2 linked regions of the Drosophila melanogaster genome follow. The gene in region 1 interacts genetically with each later gene. Each region holds a gene or a part of one and is shown in the gene's direction. Other genes may lie near its edges. The genes, in order: Nab2 and hrg.

Evidence for each region.
Region 2: of Nab2 (region 1) and hrg, changing one enhances a phenotype caused by changing the other (phenotypic enhancement), as found in Drosophila melanogaster (one study listed by BioGRID).

Annotation. Positions count from the first base shown.
Region 1 is NT_033777.3:24,313,615-24,321,425, reverse strand, and holds Nab2 (nuclear polyadenosine RNA-binding 2), read left to right. Parts: upstream 1-3,006; 5' UTR 3,007-3,169; coding exon 3,170-3,211; intron 3,212-3,304; coding exon 3,305-3,530; intron 3,531-3,584; coding exon 3,585-5,834; intron 5,835-5,896; coding exon 5,897-6,166; intron 6,167-6,227; coding exon 6,228-6,454; 3' UTR 6,455-6,766; downstream 6,767-7,811. Other genes in the region: BRWD3, read right to left, coding at 1-450, 512-758, 1,350-1,409, 1,805-1,834, 1,959-2,017, 2,269-2,311; crb (crumbs), read right to left, coding at 7,547-7,777.
Region 2 is NT_033778.4:19,662,431-19,672,229, reverse strand, and holds hrg (hiiragi), read left to right. Parts: upstream 1-2,397; 5' UTR 2,398-2,983; exon of another isoform or gene 2,984-3,112; intron 3,113-3,161; exon of another isoform or gene 3,162-3,440; intron 3,441-3,751; 5' UTR 3,752-3,876; intron 3,877-3,943; 5' UTR 3,944-3,981; coding exon 3,982-4,702; intron 4,703-4,765; coding exon 4,766-4,962; intron 4,963-5,020; coding exon 5,021-5,602; intron 5,603-5,662; coding exon 5,663-5,935; intron 5,936-5,999; coding exon 6,000-6,206; coding exon of another isoform or gene 6,207-6,705; exon of another isoform or gene 6,706-6,970; intron 6,971-7,563; coding exon of another isoform or gene 7,564-7,568; 3' UTR 7,569-7,683; intron 7,684-7,745; 3' UTR 7,746-8,311; downstream 8,312-9,799. Other genes in the region: Kpc2 (Kip1 ubiquitination-promoting complex subunit 2), read right to left, coding at 1-324, 380-869, 935-946, 1,081-1,475; CG11018 (uncharacterized protein), read right to left, coding at 8,681-9,580, 9,634-9,687.

The DNA of each region.
Region 1 (7,811 bases):
AGGCGATCGATCCATCTGTGCTGGTAGTCACCAGATATTTCAGATCGCTACGTGGCGACGGACAAAAGTTAACCGAAGTTATCATGCCCGTGTGAGCAGACAGTACGGCGATGGGTGATGTGGTTTGCATGTCCCACACTCTTAGTATGTGATCCAATGACCCGGCAGCCAGCATCGTATTGTCCAAGTTAATGGCTATGTCTGTAATCTCGGATGAGGCGCCTCGCAGAGTGGCCAGCAGGCGGCCATCTGCCGCTGACCATATCTTAATAAGTAGATCATCGGCTCCGGTGATGATGTATCTTCCTGTGCGATCAAACAGAACACAGTACACTGAGGACAGGTGGCCCACAGTGCGACGGAGCAATTTTGTTCGGCGGTAGAGGTCCGTGGGCACGAGGAGCTTGCGACGGACTTCCCCGCCGTGTTCCCGTCCAGTTAGAACGCGATCTTTGGAAATATAAATGGGTTAGTCTCTAATATGCGAATAAAACTCTACCATGCAACTAACCTAAGTTGTGGGTCGGCTTTGTAAGGACCGAATCCGGCAGCGAGACTCCATTCAGGCGGGTGCAGTAGTCCCTTAAGGAGCGATGGCAGTAGACGGTTTCCTTGGTGCGCAGGAGGTTCTGGCGCCCAGTACCCAACAGCGAGTTGATGCCCGGAACACTGGGCGGAAGCTCGCGATCCACCAGTGGACCCAGACGACTGCATATTTCAAGCAAGTGATTGGCGCCAATGTGCTTGTACTTTCGTTCCTGCGAATTCAAAATCAAAATTTAACGTATTCCTATCGATTGGGCGATAAACGGTGCGATAGCTTCAACAACGTATGCTTGTCTCGTTCCCTCGCGCACAAGTCAAGGCAAAGTGGTGGTTGCTTGCATGTGTCTGTGCGCATGGGCATGTGTATGTGTGAGAAACCAAAATGTCGGCTGGTTGCAGCTAATTGTTAAAACTAAATTACAAAGCATTTGTTTAAAAAATTAAGATTTTTCAAAATTTACAATTTTTACGAGGGTTTTAGAATTTTTGCTTTCCACTTTAGTCTTTTACGAATTTTTGCAATTTTTTGCTGCCTTTTTAATTAAATAGTTGCTTACTTATTTGTTAATTTAACAGTCAGAATGATTGATGTCTTTAGTTGTAATGTTTTTTAAATTAACAACTTGAATTTTGATGTGCAACTTTTTCTCTATTCCCTGACACGATGACGTCACAAAGGCGAGCGAACGACTGAGACGGAAAATGCCGCAGCAGACGCACACTTACGCAAGACTTAAATGCCGATCAAAAGGCATTAAACGATAACTTTGAAAAGCTAATTGATTAATTATGAAAACACTCACCAATTCCTCAAAGGTCTGCTCATGCTCGTTTCCCTGCCAATCGAGACGACGCGGCAAAACCTGGGAATCGAAAGGTGTACGTATATATAGACGGGTGTAAATATATATGCATGCATGTATGACTCTTATCACTTGCACTCCGTGACGTCGACGATGACGTCGCGGGGGCATCCCTATGATTCCATTTCTTTTTTCATGTTTTTCTCTTCTTTTTTTAATGGACTATATATTCACGTGGCCCCAGCAAATCCACAATTCAGTCTGATTCCCAACTCTGAGACAAGCGGACGTACAAGTGGGTTTTTCGTCGTTCGCTGCCGGCAGCAGAAACAACAACAAAACCAAAACAAAGCGTATAAACAAACGCGGTTTTCTATTTTTTTTTTGGCCCCCCTCTCAATTCGAGTCCGAAATATCTGTGCCAAAAACACAGCTGCAGCACCAACAAAACTCACCTTCTTCTCTTCGAGTTCCCGGATCAAGACCTACAGTTGGATAGAATTTAGTTTCAGAATTAATGTAAATGTTTGTAAACAAAACGAAATTCCGCTCTTTTAGCGCGAAATACGATTCCAATGCGATCTCGCGCGAGCGCTGCTTTCAACCCACCTTCGCCGTCTCCTCCAGCGGTCCCGCGGCCAGGAACTTGGAAATGAGGAAGTACAGCTCTGCAAGATAGAGGATTTCACGGGTTTTAGTGCAACAAGTTGTCGAAAATGCGCTCGCTGGGAGTCGTCAATATTCCAGATATATCTGGCCAAAGGGGCCCGTGAATTTCGCTTGGCGAAACGCAGTCGAAAAAACGCAGCCATTCGATTCGAAGGGCGAGCGAAACACAGACACACATTTCACAAAGTCAAAGGGGCTGCCTTTGGTAGCCCCGTTGGACGCACTCGCTGCGCCACCGGGCGGTACGCACCTGGCTTTAGATCATCACCGGAACTGGGTTGTCTAGTTTCCATTATTCATTGCGAATTGCAGCTCCGATTATGACAAAATTGCAGTTGCTTTCTTCTAAAATTCTTTTCGCAGCTTCTTCTTCCCGTGTGACACTCGATTGCCATTCCCACCGAATGAAATGCCTTTGCGTATCGATAGTTGGTGGCGGGGCTCACAAGATGGGTATCGAGTCTTAGCCGAAGGAGCCAATTTTCGTATTTGAATTTGAGATGATGCACTGAAATGCTTCGCAGGATTCTACAATCTAAGATATTTACTTCAAATTGAGAATTTTAATTCTCAGTCAAACATATTCGTAGCCATTGGTTTGGAATTTAAGCTTATTATGAAATTTATATTTAGCTATGTGATTAAATAAACTGTTTGCAATTATTCGCTTTTAATTTTCGAATGTAATTTAATAGCTACTACACAAATTCTTGATAACTAGACTTATGATTTAATGAATAACAAGTGAAATCTTTTTATATTTTTAAATTGTCCCATTGGTGTTGATTATTTTGAAGTTATGTTGCACTTCAGTTCATGGCCATGGCCAGGAGCATTTTTAAATTTCAGAAGTTTTTAATTTGCCATTTTAATTTCAAATGAAATTTCTGTAACTATTTATTATTTTAAAGCTATGTTTATAGAAAATCGATATATACATTATAAAACGTGTGAATTAAACGTGAATACCCTTAATGTCAAACGCACACCACTAGTTATGAATATCGGAGCAGCTGCGATATTTTTTTTTTTTGGGAGGTTTTGCCATTTTCTAATGTAACAAAAAGTGGAGTGTAGCCACAAAGTAAGCGTAAATAATAAATGCTCGCGGCGAATAAACAGCGAAAAAGGCGATAGATAAACCAGCAAACATGGAGTGCAATCTGGGCAGCGAGATTGGTCAGAAGATGCGCGTAAGTCATTGGAAAAAAATCAATGAACTCGTTATGGATACCGCTCGGATTGGATACTCCAATACTATATATATTTTTGCACTTCATTAATAGAGCGCCGTAAAGGCAAAGCTGCTGGAGCTGGGAACCGGAGGATCGGCCGGTTTTATAGACGATGAATTGCCGGACTACGTCATGGTCATGGTGGCCAACAAGCGCACCAAACAGCAGATGAACGCCGAGCTGAATCTATTCCTAGGCGATCAAACTGACCTCTTTGTCACCTGGCTGCACGAAGTGCTGCAAAAGCTCCAAGAGGTCACACTCCCCACATCCAGTGGTATGATGGATATGCTCATCATACTTAAGCACCCACTAACTCCAATTTTTTCAGCTTCCAGCAAGAAGCGCAAGTCTCGCGGTCAGGAGAAGGACAAAAAAGGATCCAAGAAGGATAAGCGACCGCACCGAAAGTCCGGAGATGAGCTGTCGGAACCACAGCCAAGTTCCTCAGATGCCATGCCAATTGTCAGTTCCATCACGGATGTTTTTGCCGAAGAGCTTCTCGAGAAGGCAAAGAAAACCATGGACATTGATCTCAGTGCCAAAGACGAGATCCTGCACAAAAAGAAAAATCGCAAGTCCATCGAGGATGAGGATGCATCGGCCAATAGGGCGCTGGATGTGCCCGCTGTGTCTGAGATCATCTCAACTACTATCGGTGTTAACCGGCAAAAAGACCTCGCTGAGCTGGCCGAAATCCAAAAGAAAATTCATGCAGCCAAGAAGCATTTACGCCAGATTGGCGAGATCGGGGATGAAAGCGATGAATATGATGAGGATCTGTTGAACTTGAGCGCGAGGGAGGAGTCTGTAGACCAGGAGCCAGAAGAGGATCCCCCGAAATTGGAGGCTCCACCACGAAAAGCTAAGAGCCCCATTATTTTTAACAGACGCGAGAAGACACCCGAAAAGCGTCCAGAGGCTGAACCGGAGATCGATTCCCGCCAGGAGGAGGCGGAGGAGAAGAGCCCCAAAAAAGATTCTTCGGCTGACAAGGCCAAGGAAGACCGGTCTGAAAGGCGATCGGTGCATGACCGTCTCGGTTCAAAGGCCCAAACGCCGGCAGATCGTTCGCAGCGCAACCAAAAGGAGCTCTATGTGCCGACCCATCGGCGACGGAGCGAACCCGAGGCCACCAAAGAGCGCAGTCAAAGAGAGCGCACCCGAGAACGACGCTCCAGCCGCGATACCTCTAGGGACACTAACCGTAATCAGCGCCAGCGTCGTTCGCCTAGTCCGGAGGCTCCAAGTACAAAGCAACGCATTGTCTCCCAAGTTATTGTGGCCGTTAACAAGCCACCGGAGCCGTCGGACGATGAGGATATGGCCGAAAAGCCAGTCAACTCCGTTATTAAGGTCAAGCCAAGACCAAATGTTTCTCCCAGACGACAGGCCTGCAAGAACCTCCTGCTGCGAGCAGTGGCGGACGCGCAGCGTTCCACAATCCTCGCCAAGACTTCGACACAGAAGGAGGACGAGGATGTGGGCAAGATCATAAGTTCTCTAGGCAAGCGCAAGTCGGAGGATAAGAATGATCAGATTCGTAAACGGAATCGCGAGAGGAAACGAAGAAAGAGAAGTGCACAAGGCAACGAACTCTTCCGGCGCACCACTCGGGAATTAGTGGTAAATGTGACACAAAGGGATGGAAAGCGTGAACGGCGGTCCAACGAGCGTCGCGCCGAGATCAAAGTGGTGGAGGAAGAATATACGCCAAGCCTAATGACTGAGGGCGTCGAGACGTATGTGCCGCAATTGCTGACCAACGTGGATGAATTGGATTTGCACATCAGCTCCCACGACGAGCCAAGTCCCAATTCCGGAGCCCTCAAGACTCAGTTTGTGGTCACGTTAAACGGCGACAAAGCTCTCGGAGGTAAGAATGTCAAGGGAGGGGCCTCTCGCAAGCGGCCGAGCAACTCTCGTAAACGATCCACCTCACCCGTATCCACGCCACAAGTGTCCTCCTCTAATATTGAGCCCACATCTACGACGGTTGACAAGCGACGCCGATCCAATCGGGATAGAAGCTTCTCGCCATCGCCGAGACAGAGCAGTGGGTCACCCTCCCTGCCGACAACACGCAGCATCAATCGCAACGAGGTACGCCGTCAGCCTCAGGAAATCAAGAAGATCATCATAAAAAATGACACCGATGAAGATGATGAAATGCACGGGTCACCGAAGAAACGATCACCAAACAAGCGCCAGCCAGCGGCGGCCAATGGTCACAAGGACAATAAGGATAAGGGTAAAATCGAGGAAGGCTCAACAACTCCACCGCTGCCAGCCAAACCAAAGGCGCGGGCGGAGAAGAAAGCTTCCAGCAAGGAGAAATCCGTAAGATCTAATTCAGCGGAGACGTCATCGGCCGCCAAATCTGTCAGTGCGTCCACTTCCGTTTCGACAACTACCAAAGCCAAGCACACGCCCATTCGCTTCACTCTTAAAAGTGAGGACGAGCCGAGTGCGAGTAAGAAGCGTCGTTCTGGCAGCCCCGATCGTGATGTCGCGGCTCCGGAGAGACGCAGGGTATCCATACGCAATCCGGAGGACAGGAAATACGACAACTTGCCGGCGTGTAAGTGTATTCTTTCAATTTTAACAAATTTGAACAATTACTTAATATCTTGCCCCAATTAGTGAGCGCAGTTAGCGTGGATTCCACCGTGCTGAAGGTGAACAAACCCAAGGAGCGCTGCAAATATCATCCAAACTGCACAAAGCAGTTCTGTGAGTACTATCATCCAACGGCGCCGTGCAAGTCTTTCCCCAACTGCAAATTCGCGGACAAGTGCATGTACTCGCATCCGAAGTGCAAATTCGACATGGCCTGCATGAGCATAGACTGCAACTACGCCCATGGCGGTCAAAGGGATCTAAGCCATGTCCAGCTTGCTGCTCCACCACTATGTAAGTTGATAGCCTTTGTATTTAATTTTACAAACTCACAAACTTTTTTTTTAATTTACAGCCTCTCACGTCATCCCAGTGCAGAACTACAAGTCGATATCGGCTCCTGTTACATCCACGACTGCGACTACCATGTGCAAGTACTATCCGAATTGTTCCAAGCTGGGCTGCACCTTCTATCATCCCAAGCCCTGCCGCTTCGGCAAGAACTGCGTAAACAAGCTGGAGTGCATCTTCTACCATCCTGAGATGCAGAGCAAATTCAAGTGGGTGGCATCTTTGGGCTAATGTGGACTGCACTTTCGTTCAAATGATATTTAGCAAATGTACTCTATTTCGAGTGTATGATTAGGCGAGCTTGGAGTTTTTTCTATCTATATACACCGAGTTGTATACCTTACCTATTTAATCTTCATTATTATTTGCATTCATCCTACTGCTTATAATTATAAACATGTGTATTAGTCATTAGAAGCTCGCTCACATACATGATAAACATAACTTAACTTTGTTGGTCCTGCGAATTTGGTTGCATTCAAACCATAAGATACACGTCATGGTAAAGCTGACGAATAAATTTAGCAATAGTTGCTACAAATGAAAAAAAGAAAACGATTTTTATATATAGTTTGCCGTGTGTCTTTAACTGGATAATTGAATAGGCAATTGATTGGAAAAAGTCGAAATATTTTATATTTATTATATAGTACAGTCTCTTAAGTTTACGCTTAGATACTCTAGAGCAAAATATGTTTTTTATTTGATTTACTTAACCAATACTTTTTCTGTTCTAGTTGTCATTGCTTTTCGTTACTATATTTTTTTTTGTTATAAGGCCACATTTACTGATATATATACTCGCGTATATATAGGCATATAGGATTTTCTGTTTTTAATTTCGATTTTAGCTCAGCTAATTTAGTTTAAGAGTCGGCAAACAATCTTATTTACAAAAATACTCATACAATACATTTGATGGGCTTCCTTGTGGAATGCAAAGGGGAAATCGACGTCGGAGCTCAACTTTGTTCGCAGCTTTAGGATTACATATACGAGAAATCGAATACTGAATCTAAACTATCGGAACATAACTACATAACGACTATAGGGCGGTACGTATGTCATCTAAACTACTAGAATAAATAGACAACGGCATTATTAACTAACTAAAGCGTAGGCAGGGGATAAGGGACGAGTCGAGGTGGAAGCCTGGCTGCTGCTGCTGCTGCTATTGCTTTGAGCACCTTAAGATGTAAACCATAACTAGGGGCCAACTTAGTACAAAACATTGAGTTACTCCTACAGCTAGGTGTATATGGGCGGATTTAAAAATATCTTTTGTTTGCTTTGCTAATCGTCGTTCATGCTCAAAACTCAAAACTAAATTAGTCGCTCTTCCGGCGGTGGCTTCAGTACGTTGTCCATTTCCAGCCGTGGGTTGCAGTACTCTTGCGCGCTCGGGCTATAGGTGCCCCTGGTTGCTCGCTTGTTCCTGGCCATCACCAGGAAGGTGCCCAGGAGGGCTCCCGCGATCAGCAGCAGCACCACCACTACGGGTATTACAATGATGGCAATGTCTGTGGTCGAAGGCCCGTCCTCCTTGGCCGTAATCTGAAAAAAGCGAAGAAATCAATATATTGTTTTT
Region 2 (9,799 bases), on another chromosome or scaffold:
AATCGTGGAGGGTGAGATGGAAGATAGACTGTGCTGCATATTCATGCCCGGCGGTTCCTGTGGATTTTCCTCGTTTTGGTTCTGTATTAGCCACTCCATCGTGGTCGAGTAAATGCCATTGTGTGCTTTTAAGGCAAATGCGGCTAGCTCCCGCTTGAAGCCCATGTCCACGAGGCATTGCAGCGTATCCGCTTGCTGATTTCGGCGATTGATCAAACGTTGCTTTAGCATAGCTATCAGGCGTGGAGCATAAGGGCCAGCTCCTATAACCGCCGCAGAAGCTTGAGCCAAAGAGATCAACACCTTTCGCACATCGTATTGGATCTGGAAACGGAATAGGATTAGAATAATCAAAGGAGTAGCCAAGAATTGTACTCACATTCGACTGCTGAAAGATTTCATTAATATCGATGGTGGGCAGCTGGTTGCAATTGACGGGCACGTATCGGGTGGCGCTCTCCACCAGCTGCTCATTTGGGCCAGGAACCTCACGTATCCGTGAAACAGTCTGCGGCAGAGTATTGCGTCGTGGGGAGAGTATGAAAGTCTCATTGTTGCGAACTTTTAGCTGGGCCAGCGTGTCGCCCTCGTTAAGCTCGCCGCCGAAGTATTCCGCCCGATAGAGACGGTATCGCGGATTAAGATGCCGCACATCTGGGGCAAATAGCTGGATGGAGTCGGGATCGTCGCTCAGTTCCAGAATCACCTCACTCTTCAGCTCGTTTAGGCGCTTATTAACGTCCGTTTTGAAGATAAGAACCCGAGAGCTGGGGCAGATTACCCGCACCAGGATAGATTCACCTGGCCTGCTGGCATCGTCTGCCTCGCCAGAAGTAGAGCTACCTGGGCGATTTGTATGGGCTGATTTCCTAAGTGGATTCCGTTAAGAATGGACTTAATTAAAAGATTAGCATAATACCTAAGCATTACTAACCTGAGAAACAAACTGCGCAGTTTTTGCATAGTTTGTTTTAGTTGGATGGGTAGTGACAAACCAACGGAGAATTTCGAAAGACAAATATTTGTTTCGGGTGAGCACTTTGAAAAACATAAGCATATTCGTTCGGTTTGATAACTTACGCATTAGCCTGCTGTTGGTGAGTGGGCGTGGGCGAGTCCTGTGGCACCACCTTCTGATGCTCAGCACGTTCCTCTCGTCGCTGCAGCTGTAGCTCAAGGTGAATGCGACGTCGGCGAGCGGGCGATGGAGTCCTTAGGACGCAACTGCCCCCGCCCACAAGGGGCCGCGAATTGGAAGCGGATATCCCGCCATCCGTCTGCGTTTCAGATTCCGCCGTGTGGACATTCAACGAGGATCCGCTCAGGCTCTCCGCATCGCTGGCGTCTGTCCGCTGGCTGTGGCTATGACTGCTGCTCCGAGGGCTTTCGTCAGCCGGAGAACCACCGCTGCGCTTGCTACGCGCCAACCACTTGGCCCGTTTCTCGTTGAACTTCTCCCGCATCCAGGGTATCATCTTGGGTCTGCAGCTAGGTGTTTGTTACATTTTGCGGCACTTTTCGATGGCTATTTTGCATATTTCTCGCAAGTAAACAGAATCGATGCGTTATTGCAAAAAAAAAAAAAACGATTTTTATTTTTGTAAAGTCGATAGCAAGCAGCTGTTTGATGGTGCTGCCAGATAGGCCATATCCATGGGGAATACCCCTAATCTTTATAACGGCTATTTTGACATGAAAAACTATTTTAAAATATGTTATGTGGCTGAACTTTATAAATATATCGTGATATGTACATATATGAAGAAAACTATGTTATTCCTTATCGTTAGCCAATAACAATAACAGGAAAACATTGGGGTTAAATACTTTTGTTACTTTACTGCAATAAATAGTAGTTACCCGAATATAGTAATAGAATTAAAGAATTCATTTTCCAAAAACTATTAGTAATACAATCTAAGTGTCTTAATGGTAAATTGGTACCTGGTTAGACCCGTCATATAAAACCCAAACATACTTGAAATCCCAGTTTGAAATGGGTTTTCAAATTTCAGGTAAGAAAATTGGGTTTTGAATTTACCTACACCAAAGGTGCAAAAAGTGACATCTGTCGCAGATTTCAAATAAGCAGATGGCCAGATTAGGTCCCAACTGTAAAAGAACCAATAGTAAATCCTATGCCCTCAGCTTATTTTACTTAAGGCGGTATCGCTTGCAGATGACTCTCACTTTTATTACTTGCGAAACGAATCTGCTTGATAATGAAATAAAATGGTGCTCATACACATTATATTTAAAACCAATTTGCTAAAAATCATTTAAAAATTCTCACTAAAAATGTCCATTCACAATAGGCATACGTAAGCAGAGAGCATGGAAATCTTCCCATCCCTAGCTACTCCCATTGGCTCATCTCTATGCGCCGCAAGAAACGATAACGATTGCCACAAGCATCCAATCGATTGCCACACATTTTAATTATTGCTAGAACGCGCAGGGGCTTAAAAGTTAGTAAAATATGTTTGCCGCCCACTAAACGCCACAGCGTCGATCCCGTCGTGTTATCAGTGTGCCCCCGTCACCTCCGAAACGAAACAAAAGTGGGCGGAAAGCGTTTGTGTTTGCGTTTTGGCAAGTCGACTACTGGCATTTGTATATCGGTGTGTGCGTGTGCGTCACGTAGCATAAAACGCGAGAGTTTCTGTCCGTTAAGCAGCAGTGGAAGGTGGTGGAACGGGAACGGAAAAAGAAACGAAAAAAGAAATGTGAAGAGTGCGGCAAAAAAGCGAGGAAGACGAACGTGCGAAAAGAGTAAAAGCCGGAGCGACAACAGCACATGAATGGGATACACTCTCCTGCCAAAAGTTCTAACAAACAAACATACATACATACATATGCACCACTCACGAATGCAGCGGACAAACAGCACGACACGCCACACACACACACACCTTCAGATATTGTTTGAAGCGGCGGCACGGGAACAACAAAAACAGGCCAAGAATCTGAAGAATAAGCGCAGGTAAGCAAAAACAAGCAGAGAAAACTTTTCCCCTCGTGTGTGTATGTATACGGCGCGTGCCTGTTTGTGTGGGTGTGCGTGAGTGCGTGCGTGAGAGCACCGTTTACCTGTGTGGGAGGATTGTCGTTGGTGAGAGGGGGGTGGTGCAGGCGCATAAATATTCGCTTTCTTTGTTTATGTTTGTCATTGTCACAATTATTCTGCTACAAGCAACAGCTACGGCAACCCACTCCAACCGCTAATTTATTTGCCAATTTCTTTTACGCATTTGTTTATATGCCCGAAAGGCTATCCAGTGAACCAGTGTGCCCAGCTGCTTTGCGAAATTCATTGTTATGTTTTTTGTATATAACGGCGCTATCAGAAATATCTTATCGCACATTACAATTTGCATTTACTCAGCGCGAAAGTAAATTGTAATTGTCAATTAACTGTTTTGCTACACAGGAAGAAAAGGGTAATTTCAATTTAGTAGTAACTGTTGTATATATGTAGCCCTTATCACGTGATGAATGTGTATCCCACAAATATTTAGTTCAAATATTAGGTGATTCACTTTTTAAAAAACCGCGTCGTCATCAGTTTGGAAACGCCGTACAATAATTCTCACTTTAAGAAACCCTAATATTTCGCAATCCTTATGAGATTATCATAGTCCGAACAAACCTATTCAATTTCAATACGATCCGCTCTTCCTTAAGAATTTTAAAACCAAACCTTAGAGTAATGCTTTAGATGTCATACTAAATGTATTATTTTCTTTTCCAGCATTTTATTAAGCGCAGTTTCTTAAACAGAGCCACAAGAGGAGGTGTCGCATATATATGATTCCATTTTGTCTTCTTGGAGAGCAAACTTAAATATAATACCACATACATTTTAAGCCTAGATAGGTGAGTAAATCGAATATAGCGATTCCGAAAGGATCAGATAATAACCGTTTAAAATTTCAATTTTCAGGACATAACTTTAAGCTGAAACGAAGGCAGACAGACAACATGTGGAATTCCGAACCAACACATCGCCAGCACCATCAGCACAATGGAAATTCTACCTCGGGCGGACCGCCCGCCAAGCAATTGGGCATGACCTCGGCTATCAGTCTGGCCGAGCCACGGCCTGAGGATCTCCAGCGCACTGATGAGCTCCGCGGCTCACTGGAGCCGTACAACGTCTTTGAGAGCCAGGACGAGCTAAATCACCGTATGGAGATCCTGGCCAAGCTCAACACACTGGTCAAGCAGTGGGTCAAGGAAATCTCTGTCAGCAAGAACATGCCAGAGTCAGCCGCCGAGAAGCTTGGCGGCAAGATCTACACATTCGGCTCGTATCGATTGGGTGTCCATCACAAGGGTGCCGATATAGATGCCTTATGTGTTGCTCCGCGAAATATTGAGCGCACCGACTACTTTCAGAGCTTCTTTGAGGTGCTCAAGAAGCAGCCAGAGGTAACCGAGTGCCGCTCGGTGGAAGAGGCCTTTGTGCCCGTCATCAAAATGAACTTTGATGGCATCGAAATTGATTTGCTGTTTGCCCGTCTGTCCCTAAAAGAAATTCCTGATGACTTTGATCTACGGGATGATAACTTACTGCGGAATCTGGATCACCGTTCGGTGCGCAGCCTCAACGGCTGTCGTGTGACGGACGAGATCCTGGCCCTGGTGCCCAATATTGAAAATTTCCGCCTGGCACTGCGCACTATCAAATTGTGGGCAAAGAGTACGTGTTATTATATAAAATTCTTATAAATTAAATTCTAATTGTTCTCATTTTCTCTCTTAGAGCACGGAATCTACTCAAATTCATTGGGTTATTTCGGTGGTGTGACCTGGGCCATGTTAGTGGCCAGAACCTGTCAGCTGTATCCCAACGCTGCGGCTGCCACACTGGTGCACAAGTTTTTCTTGGTCTTTTCGCGCTGGAAGTGGCCTAACCCAGTGCTACTCAAGCACCCGGACAACGTTAATCTAAGATTTCAAGTAAGTCATAAAAACTTATCCAAATAGTCCGGTTCTCTAATAGATTTTCCTATTCTAGGTCTGGGATCCGCGTGTCAATGCCTCGGATCGGTATCATCTGATGCCCATTATTACGCCCGCATACCCACAACAGAATTCCACATTTAATGTGTCCGAATCCACCAAGAAGGTCATATTGACCGAGTTCAATCGCGGCATGAACATCACGGATGAAATCATGCTCGGTCGCATTCCGTGGGAGCGTTTGTTTGAGGCACCTAGCTTTTTTTACAGATACCGCCACTTTATCGTGTTGTTAGTCAACTCGCAGACGGCTGACGATCATTTAGAGTGGTGCGGCCTTGTTGAGTCAAAGGTGCGTCTGCTAATTGGCAACTTGGAGCGAAATCCCCATATTGCACTGGCCCATGTCAATCCCAAGTGTTTTGAGTTTAAGAAGGGCCAAAGTGCCAACAACTCACAAAACAACAGTGGAAATGAAGACGATCTGAAGCAGTCGCAGGGAAACCAGTCTGCTGTGACATCGGCACCCTTCTGCTCCATGTGGTTTATAGGCTTGGAATTCGAGCGATCGGAGAACCTTAACGTGGACCTCACCGAGAGCATACAAAACTTTACAGAGCATGTGATGATGCACGGCGTAAGTAAAAAATCGAAAATAATGTTTATTCAGTTGCTTATTACTTTTTTAATCTTGCAGGTTAACATCAAAATGCTTAAGGAAGGCATGACCATTGATGCCCGCCATGTAAAGCGCAAGCAGCTGTCGCTTTATTTAGACTCTGACTTCCTAAAACGTGAGCGCAAGTCAATGGAAAGTCACAATAATTTTAATAACACGCTATTGGCTAACCGCAAACGACTTTCTACGGAACTGGCCCAATCGCAGGATCCACTGCCCCCAGGCCAGCAGCCATCAAGTGGAAATCGCGGTCGGGATAGCGGAGCCAAGATACAAAGACTCAGCGATTCGGTTAGTGGTATAAAAAAGATATCAATTTAGAACGTATTAATTAGTCGAAACTTTGTATGTCTAGCTGACAGAGGAGAACTCGAATGCCTCCAGCGATATGGGGGCAGGGACGCCCACCACGCCCACAACGGCGCAATTAAGTGCGCCAAGCTTTAAGAGCTCTGGCAAGAACGGCTCCGAGATAGACGTTGTAGAGCAGGAACCGACACAGCCTCACAACAATGGCAATGCCAGCAGCAACACAACCACAACGGAGGTGGCATGTTCGTGACAACCGCCAACGCTACATCCGCATCCGCCACATCAGCAGCCACCGCCAGCGCCGCCACAGCCACCAGCTCACCATCATCATCATCAGAAGTTCCGAAAGAACAACAACGCGGCTGCGGCAGCCGCCTCCAACAGCATTTTCAACCAACGCTCGATTCTGCATGCCGCTTCCAGTCTATCGGCTGCTCTAAGCATTACCGGACATAAGCGCAAGCAGCAAACGGCAACATCAACAACCATGATCAGCAGCAGCAACATTGCTCACAGCAACTACACCCAGCATAGCACTCACAACAACAACGGCGGTGGCGGCGGCAGCCACTACAACAAAACGTACTACATTGATGATGATGACGAGGACAACAATCAACCACTTTTGACACCTAACAACCAAACACAACAGCAACAAAAAGCGGTCAGAATAACAGCTACATCGGCGTCACCAGCAACATCGGTTCCGGTAGCTGCGAGTGCCGCACCACCGGCACCGACAATTTCTTGTAAGTTGCCTAAATGTTTTTCCTCGTTATCGTACTCTCTTTTCATTTTCCCCAACTTCCTTTGACACGAGACTGTTTCTGTACTCTTAAGTTGCCTATCTACTTACTTTTACGTATTCTATAACCAGTATTCCGCCAATGTGGAAACAATCTAACAAAAACATACCTCTAATTTTTTAAGTTTTAAAAATTCAATTTACCTAGCCCGAGACTAAGCTCAATAAACGATGATGAAAATAAACTTTTTAAAAAAGAAAAAACACTGAACATTTTTCGTATTTTTATTTTCCAAATTGTTTACAGTGAAATTCGTTTGGTCAAACATTTTAGGCTATAGGAATCTGCAAAACAAAATGCGAGAAACAAACCTTGCTTTGTTCAATATTCAAGAAACAATTTCTAAAAAGAAATAAGTGTAAAACATTTACATTTTATTTTGTTTATATTTCGGGTTTTATTTTTTGTTTGGCTGTCTAGCTTTCGTCAGTTTTAATGAATTCATGGCCCTTAAAAAGCATTTGTTAATGTTTGTATTGGGTTTTATAAGGGACAAGCTAAGGAAACTGTTTTATATAGTAGCACAGATATTTCGGTTCTGTGGGATTTTACTACGATAATAACACACGTCTCATCTGGAAATTAAGTAAAAGATGAAGGTATTGTTAAAAAGATTTTTTGCTGTTAATTTGATTTTAATTGTTTCCACTTTGGTTGTACAATAAACTCAAACTTTTTACCACACCGAAAATTACGAATGTTTTGTTTGCATATTCTTGTTGAAGTATTGTAATTAAAACATATATATAAAACATACATATATTCCAATAACCGTTTTTATCCTTTTTATTGTCTTTGCAGTGTAAAAAGTTATTAAACATACCATTTAAGGATTAGTTATCATAGTTATTATCTCCCTATTGATTTCCTCGGCATTGATGCCTGAACATACATGAAGCCCACAATATTTTATACAAAACGGTGAGACTAATTTTGAATTAATGGCCACTGAAGTTTATAATTCGGTTTTCCATTCATTTCAGGTTTCTATCATACACCTTCTACAAACATGTGTTAAACATTATTCGTTCAACCAATTAACATCGCCCTATCGTCAAATCGAAATTGGCATTCGGAGATCAACAATCGCCGTTAAGACAAGAAAACATCATGACTTGAGGCGATTTTTAGCGGCAGAGAAAGCATTTCTCTAACATTTGTCTTAATAATATTGTTGTACATCTTTTTTACTTCCCCACAGCTGGTTTGAGGAGTGCGTAGAAGAGAGAAGTGTGGAGAGGAGGATGTGGATAAAGATGGATGGATGAATGGATGATTGACAGCAGCGGACTGACAAGATCCTGGAGAAGATTCGCTTTGAAAACTATTTACAAACTAAGAAGATTCTTTTTAATTTTTCATCTTGTTTTCAATATTTGTTTTCTTCTTCTTCTAGTTGTACAACGCTGAAAATTTGAAACAATTATGTTCGTTTTTCTAAGAAATGATATCTGAAAAAAGGTAATAACAAAAACATATAAATGAAATGAAGATATTGATTTAATTTTACCAAATAAACCAGAAAAATGAAAGCGCAAGCTAAAACACCAATGTATCAATGTTTTAATTATTTATTGGAGATGTGTGATGGATAATATATTTGGAATACAAAATATTTGCACTGAAAATGTTGGGAACTATTGGATATAATTAAATTGCTATAGAAAAATGTACTATTTTGCTAATGACGAATAAAGGATGAGTAGTTTGTTCCGAAGAAGCTTAAATTAAGAAAATAAAATATATTTATTTCTGCAAGCATAAATCAAGAAAATTTTTGAATTTACATTTAAATGAAGAGGAATCACAAATATGATAATCATTCCTTGTCCCATCAATTTTCTCGTACGAAGACTGATCATGATCAATGTCTAACTGAAATTTAAACAGGTTGAGTGAGTCCAAGATGTGGTTGCCTTTAGTTAATGGCAAGTTGGTGTAGCGGATACTTGGGGATAAAGTACTCCATGCGCTGGTTGCGTCTAATGGCGCACTCCTGGTACTCCAACCAGTCAGTGTAGGACTCATTGTGGCACTGCTCCGAATCCCCTTTCTCGTAGAGCTGCTGGCGAAGGGAGAAAAAGAAGGGGCGCACTTTCTTCTTTATGCTGTAGACGTGGCGCATCAGCCACTTTTCGACTTTAATCTCATTGTAGATGGTCGATCTGTTCAAGCAGACGGTGGTCAGATTGTCCATTTTTGGATAGTAATTACGGACCGGTTTCGGATCCACAGTTATTCGAGGTATTTCATGCCTAGCTACGGCGAAACGGGTGTCGAAGAAATGTCTACCAAAAGTGACGCCCCAAGCATTGTATTCCTTCTCCCCATATTGGTTTGTAACGAATTGTTGAATACTGACGGTCAGCTCTTTGGGTGGTTCAGTTCCTTTTCCTCCGGCGGCACCTCCTTCAGCCGCTCCTGCCGCCGCTGGAGCTCCATCAGCTGGCGCCGCAGCTTCAGGCGGAGGTGGATCTTGTGGAGAAGCAAATAGTCGAATGCCACTTTTATGGATTTTCTTAGGAGCAGTAGTGCTTCCTCGGGTCACAGTAATTGGTGGCGGATTAGTTTCATTGTAGCCAGCTCTACGGTGATAATCATCCTGTAGTTTCTTTGCGAACACTCTGAAGCCGTCGGATTTCTGCTGCATTTGGTTATTGGAGCTTTGATCCACCTTGAAAATATCGAACGTCGACGGATCTGGTTTTACTTGCCTTGGAGCTCTCTCCACCGGAACATCCTCTGCCAAGACGATTGGAAGTGACTCCAGATCGGTTGTAGCCAATGGCAAGCCAACGACTCCTTGTACCCATAAAATCTAATGGATTATAATATACATAGGTGCTGCAGTTGGTGGCTCGACGCACTCACGATTATCGATGATATTCCCAGGAGGAATCCTTGGAGGATTGCATACCAATGCATAGTGTTCTATGTGATATTTTAGGGGTATATCCCTTGTCTTTAAAGTGTGATTCAACAATACGAATGTAAGAAATAAGCGTTTTCAACAAGGAGCCCATAGTGACTTCAATTA